Linked DNA regions of Coturnix japonica. The protein of the gene in region 2 purifies or fractionates together with the protein of the main gene of each other region. This does not show direct contact. Links are inferred from orthologs where the notes say so. Each region holds a gene or a part of one and is shown on either strand. Other genes may lie near its edges.

Region 1 (3,653 bases), on a different chromosome or scaffold from region 2:
ACTCCATCTTTTCCCTTCTTTGAGAAGCTCATGTGTAGAACAGGTGCTTACAGTGTGAGTATCTGAGCACTGCACATCCCCTGAAGTTACCCACAATGTGCAATATTCTTCTATTCAGTTTTCTAGAGGTAAAATTCAAATTGACTTTGACTCTTTTGCCATGTTTGTAGAGAGACACTGACCAAACTGTAAGGATAGCCTGATGATTTCTAGGAACAGATTTGAGATTACTTAAATAGCTTAATTTTGGCTGTACTGTTTCAGAGAGAATCCATGTTTATGAAGATAAGAAGGAAGCTCTCCAAGCTGTTAAGATGATTAAGGGTTCACGATTTAAAGCGTTTTCAAACAGAGAAGATGCTGAGAAATTTGCTAAAGGAATCTGTGATTACTTTCCATCTCCAAGCAAGTCCTCTCTGTGTTTGTCTCCGATGAAAACAGGACCACTTAACAGAGGTATGGAGGGTGTTCACCTGTGTACAGCAGGCGCAATGGAGAGGGGTAATTTTATGAGAGACAGGAACGAGTCCCTTCATTAGCAATGTGCCAATAACTGGAAAAAAAATCAGAGCAGTATTTTGAAGCCTCTTAATAACTTGAAACAGGTCTGTTACGATGAATTAATTACACTAAAAAATTTAAGGTAATTGTACAGAACTGCAAAAGCCATTTCAGGTATTTAGAAACTTCCTACTTGTTGTTGAACTTTCATTTTAGGCTTGGATGGAAGCAGGTTAGTAGTTGTGAGGCTGTTTTAGACTTCGGTTTGGACCAAAAAGCTTTATAGGTCAATTACGTTGTATTTCCTTCCCTACCTCTTATTACTCCCAGGATCTTAAAATGCCAATAAACTTATTTACACTAAAGATGTCAAGTTAATAGTTTGGATTAAAAGCTTTTGCTGGTGGTATAAAAATAGTGATCACTGAAAAGAGAGCAGCCAGAAGTATGACACTTGTGTTTTTATAGATGGCTTATGCTCACTGGAGATGGAAACTGCTAACAAGGAAAGGGCCAACAGTTACAAAAGTCCACGTACCCAGGATCTTACTGCTAAGCTTCGGAAAGCTGTGGAGAAAGGAGATATATCAACATTTTCAGAACTTATTTGGAGTAATCCTCGCTATCTTATTGGATCTGGGGACAATCCAACAGTTGTACAGGTAAAAAGATACATATGTTTATCTCCAAGTTCTGCTTCGGTGATAAGAGTTTGAGGGCTGATAAGCATAACTGGAATGGATGTGGTTCCCTGCTTTCCACTTCTTCCAACTGGTGTGGTTTCTCAGTGTTGATTTACACCAGTTGGAAGCTGTTTTCCTGCTCTTTTGTATGCTGAACATTGCATCTCCTTTTATTATTTAACCTTCTTTGCTACATTTTTCCCTAAATCTAAAACCTGACTATAGCTAAGAATGACGTAGTTAATTTTAAGTGTAACCTGACAGTGTGGATACATGTCTTTACAGTATTGTCACACTGCATTTCTGGATGTCAACTGTTTTGTGAACATATCTTCCTGAGATAGTAGTAGGAGATAAAAATCCCCATGTAAGACAGTGTGGGAACCCATTTTTCCCATTGGGTCATTTAAGTGTACAGGTGTAGGCAGGCTGTTGGATTTCAGTTAGCTCTGATTTGTTTTTCAGGAGGGATGCAGGTACAACGTCATGCACGTCGCTGCCAAGGAGAACCAGCCTGCTATCTGCCAGCTGTTATTGGACACCCTGGAAAATCCTGAATTCATGCGGCTTATGTATCCAGACGATGATAACACAATGCTAAAGAATCGCATCCGATACATTGTTGACCTTTACCTTAATACACCTGATAAAATGGTGAGATCTGGGATGTGTGACTGTTTCTTATTGTTAGGAAACTACTGGAAGGCATTAAGGAAGCAGAAGGGAGAAGGAAAGAGGGAAGGGACCATTTGAGCAGAAGGTAGATGGTCATGGGCTTTGTGGGTTTGAACAGTCGTTTTTCCACCATGCAATGGGAAAGGATCTATTAGGAGCCCTGTTCGTTTACTTATCCTGCATCCAAAATAAAACATACAGGATTGACTTAATGATGTTTCCATATACATGTGAATTTCCTCTCTTTAATGTTGCAGGGATTTGATACTCCGTTGCATTTTGCCTGCAAGTTTGGGAATTTGGATGTTGTTAACGTGCTTACGTCACACCCGGCTATTGTGAAAAACCCCAGGAACAAATATGATCAGACTCCAGCAGAAGTAAGTCTGTCTATGTCCACAACGAAGGCATCATGCCAAAGCAGGGCTTTTCAACTTTGAACGTTCACAGACTGCTTAGTTCACAGGCTGAGCTACCAGTGAAAAATCTATGGGTCATTACAAATATTCTGTGTTGATTATAGCCAGAGCCAAGTTTGAGATGTTAGGATTCACTGCTTTTTGCTTACAGTCTCTCTATTGGAAATCGGTGTCTTTTGTTTTACTAACAAAGAACTAATGTTTTATTAACAGGTGGTTTGTGAGAGAAGCAAGAATAAGTCTGCAGAATTGAAAGAAAAACTGAGAGAGTACTTGAAAGGTCAGTGTTCAAACAACAGCAGGAATGTGGCACTGTCAGACTCTCACTGTTTTCTGTTGGTTTTCTGTAGCATTCCTGTCCATAAGTGCTGCTGTACAGTATTGTAAAAATCACAGAGAAGCTCTAAAACTGACAAGGAACAGAAAACTTGCCGTGTCTTTTAAATGGAGCGGTTGGTTCTCTTACTGTATGGATTGCAGGATTTTCCTCATAGCTCTCCATAATGGCACAGCCATTATTTTATTCAGCATGTCTATGGCAGAAAATCATCTTAAAGCAAACAAAAGACCTCCACAGGGCAGGAGGTTCCTTGGTCACATTTGGCACCCCTGTGCTTTCCCTGACAAGAAAATCTTGCCTGTTTTGTCACGTGCAGGTTTGGGCATCTGTCAAACAGACTTTGAAACGGGGTGACAATCCATTAGAAAATGCTGTGTGTATCAGGGCGTGTGTTTTTGCATTTGAGACAGAAGGGAGCATAGACTGAAATACAGCCTGCAAGCAGGCAATAAACACTGTACAAGTGAATTTGAATCATATATTTTACTGGTGAAATCAAGTCAGATGGTTAAATGTACAGGTGTATCGATGTTCTAGGAGGAAAGAGCAAGCTAATGTAACAACAGCTTAAGAAAGCTTGGTTTTGCTTTATTTAAGGTCGATACTACGTACCACTGCTGAGAGCAGAAGATAATTCCTCAGCTCCTGTCATTGGTGCACCATGGTCACCAGATCAGACAGATGAGAGTCCTCAGGCAGCTCTGTCCAAATATATTGGCAGCCCCAAGGATCCAGTGTTGTCCATACGAGCTTTCGCAGGCCCCATGAGTCCGTCCAAGGTAAGGAGCTGATGAGAGCTTCATGTGACATCTGTGCTTGTTCATGAAGGTGGAGCTGTGGATGGGATTAAAAAAAATTTCTCCTTTCTGGAATGTTTGAAGCAGTTCATCAACTTTACTTACTGAATTCATGATAAAGTCTGCTTCCTGAATGGAAACAGTGACAGTCAAATAGTAGGTATTGGATAGTTCTAGAAGAGTTGTGCTTGTGCAGTAGAGAACAGTCCTTATTTTTTTTAGCTGGAATACTGGAATA
Region 2 (3,172 bases):
AACGCGGATAAGGGGACAAGGGGACAAGGGGATGCTCCGGCAGCGCTGCACGCCGCGTCCCATTGCCCGGAGCCGGCGGCGCGGGCAGCCCGGTGCCCGGCACAGCCCATGCGGGGGGTGCCGCGTCCCTCGCGCCGTGTCCCAGCTCCGCTTCCTCGGTGCTGAGCGCGGCAGGTCGGCGGTGCTCCCGGTCCGCGGGGCAGGATCCGCCGAGCGCTCCGTCTGCGGCCGCGTTCTGGCACCGTGGGTCGGGCGGCCGCTGGGCGAAGGGAAGCGCACGGCCGCCGCTCGTCCGCAGCGAGGCGCTGGGCTGCAGAGCCGTTTCGCCGCCCGCCGCCGCAGCTCTCCCCGCCGCCCGCGTCCCGCCGCCCCGGCCCGACTCACGCAGGTGCCGCCGAGGCGCCGCGGCTCCACCAGTGCGACGCGGGCCCCCATCTCTGCCGCCCGGCGCGCCCCCGCCAGCCCGCCGGACCCGCCGCCCAGCACCAGCAGCTCGTACGCGGCCGCCGCCATGGCTCAGCCCCAGCCCGCCCGGCACCGCCCCGGCCCGCCCCCGAGAGCGCAGCACCACGGCTCGGGCTGAGAAGGGCGTTTATTGTTCAGGTACAGCGAGTGGGACAAGCGCGGCCGTGACAAGTACGCGAAGGCGGGAACAACACAGGACGGGAATCGAGCTAAAAAGGGAACGCTTTATTCCGTGTTATGACAACGTACTCCCAAAAGCAGGAATCGCTTCCCTTCTCCTAGAAGCGCGGAAGGGCGGGGGCTGGAAGGGGCCTTAAGGCCATCCGACCCCTGCCGGGGGCAGGGCCCTCCCCTCGGCCGGGCCGCCCTGGGCCCCAGGCAGCCCATCCCGCTCCACTTGAGGCGCTCATCTTTCAGTAAAATCAAGAGTGGTGGGGTAAAGAAGTTAGTGTGCATTTCCCTTAGAAATGAACTCCAAAACGCTAAGTCATGCCAGTTAACCACTAGAACTAAAAATTGACAAATAAGCGTAAAAGGAGATGGAAGCGTTAGAGTTACCTTGTCCTCTGAACAGTCCAGAAAAAAAAACAACAACAAAAAATAATGACTACAATACAGCAGGCAAACTGACTGTCGGACTGATTGGTATAGGATACATAGTGTCGTAAGGAATTCAGTCTCAGGTTGTGCTGAACGCTCTTCGTCCTCAATATGGCACGTTTTGGTCCATGATGGGGATTATAAGTAGAGACGAACCCCGATTTCTTACAGAAACATGTAAATATTGTTGCTCTTTAAAACGCCAGGTGTACTTCCTTCTAAAAGGTTACGAGAGGTTTATAGGAAGTAGTCTGGGGTACGACGGGTAACATGAGGCTCTCCACGACGAGGTGCTGGGTCAAACTGAAGGCTGCGGGAAAGAAAAAAGGGTCATTAGTCCTCCATGCGAGGCAGTTTCCAATACAGCAGTTAGGCAGGAGGAGAACAGCTCAAAGCACATTACTCACAAGGAATATTTTAAAGTGTCATCTAGTTCCATGATAGCAGCCTGGTTCCCACAGCGGTAACAGTAATTGGGCGCACTGAAAATGGTCACCACATTTCGGTCGTGGCACCAGTTATAGCCCTGCCGGGAAGAAGAGAAAAGAGGTCTCTGTTAAACCTCAGCCCTCAGTCCGTCTGAATTTCCTCTTCCAGCCTCAAACAACAACTCAAGCCAGCTGTGAAACAGAAGGTTTCTTCCAGGTAGTTCCACTTTCAGAAGGCACTCTACAGCGTCAGCAAGTGGCGTTTACAAGCAGTGCTTACCCAGCAACAATAATTGAAGCCATTCTACACAGAGACCAGCTATTTGCACTGGTCTGTTTGCAAACTGTGGATCACAGGAGAAGGAAAACTAGAGATCTCAGGTAGACCCTCAGCCTTCATTCACCACAAATGAGAATCTGCCAGTTCACCTGGAAGGGCATTCTGACACACGCTGCTACTAACGAGACCTGCCGGAACTCCATGTAAAAATAAGTCTGCTCCACTGACCCACTAGGCAGTTTTCCATCAAGACAAACAAGAATAGACCATCAGTAGCCAAACTTAGGGCTTAATCCCTGTCACATCTGACCACTGCGTACTATAGGGCAGCCTGTTTAATGGAGCACATAAGAAGATTATTACTTCAACAAACAGGGCATGGCAGGGTCTCTTTGGCAATGTACTTCTCTACAGAGCAGGTCAAAGCACATCCTTTTACATCGCTTGTTGTTTTCACACGATTAAAATCCCTTTCAGGAACTTACCTGCTTAGCCTTTACGTGTCAGCTCATGCCAACACATTAGAAGGTCTAACAAAAGAGACAAGAATTGACATCTATCTTTTTTTTCCTCTCTGCCTGTTCAGCACGAAATGCTTGCCCTACCTCCATGACCAGTTGGTGAGCGCGGGAGACCAGTGTAAGACCATTGGCATGATTAAATGTCTCAGAAATGTCTTGCCCAAACGTGTAGCCGGCACCACGTGGAGATATGCCCCAGCCACCACGATCATCTGGATCCGACCACAACAGATCACACATTGGACCCTTGAAAGAAAGTGAGTATTCTTCATTAGCTTTCATTGTGCTTGCAAAGTAGTTATGAAAATATATCTTTACAAGTTTACAGTAAAAAGCCTGCATTTTCTTTTCTGCATAAGCCACATATGTTTATCTAACAACAGTTAGTTACTCCATGCATCAGTCGACATCCTTTCACAAGAAACGAATCCGCATACAGCTGAGGAGTCCCTGCAACCAGAGAACTCTGGCCACCTCCATCACACACTGCTTGCCATCCCACCTCACCTAACCAGAGCTGCAAAGACATGCACAGCAGATCCACGTTCTTCCTGACTCTCACAGCAGAATAAAGACCACATGGGAAAGTATGTATGCAAGTCCGAGGATACACAAAGGGATCATTAGTGCCAACCAACTTGTAATAAATTAATGCAAGGGAAATTATCCACCTGAAGTGACCTAAGTGAACTAATCAAAAGATTGATTGTTAATCTTCAGCGGTTCTTCTGGCAGGGTATTAAGCATGTAGTTTCCTCTCCTGAATTGTTGTTCATTGGATTTTACATATTCAGAAATACCCTGGTACATGTCTTTTAACATTCACCAGCAGCTTTTCTCACTGAGCTATTAAGAAACTAAAGGGCACTACGAACTGT

What was found. Proteins that work in one complex are often made in the same cells at the same time.
Region 1: the proteins of PPP2CB (region 2) and ANKLE2 purify together in Homo sapiens (affinity purification with mass spectrometry; 4 studies listed by BioGRID and IntAct, counting the BioPlex papers as one, with this or other methods). This does not show direct contact. The link is inferred for Coturnix japonica from reciprocal best matches to the Homo sapiens genes PPP2CB and ANKLE2.

What each region holds. Positions count from the first base shown.
Region 1 is NC_029530.1:1,118,108-1,121,760, reverse strand, and holds part of ANKLE2 (ankyrin repeat and LEM domain-containing protein 2), read left to right. Parts: intron 1-264; coding exon 265-456; intron 457-969; coding exon 970-1,163; intron 1,164-1,649; coding exon 1,650-1,838; intron 1,839-2,116; coding exon 2,117-2,239; intron 2,240-2,491; coding exon 2,492-2,558; intron 2,559-3,215; coding exon 3,216-3,397; intron 3,398-3,653. UniProt on the Homo sapiens protein: Involved in mitotic nuclear envelope reassembly by promoting dephosphorylation of BAF/BANF1 during mitotic exit.
Region 2 is NC_029519.1:30,558,671-30,561,842, forward strand, and holds the end of PPP2CB (serine/threonine-protein phosphatase 2A catalytic subunit beta isoform), read right to left. Parts: exon of another isoform or gene 2,541-3,172; coding exon 2,379-2,540; exon of another isoform or gene 2,360-2,378; intron 1,592-2,359; coding exon 1,473-1,591; intron 1,376-1,472; coding exon 1,303-1,375; 3' UTR 578-1,302; downstream 1-577. Other genes in the region: GSR (glutathione reductase, mitochondrial), read right to left, coding at 385-513.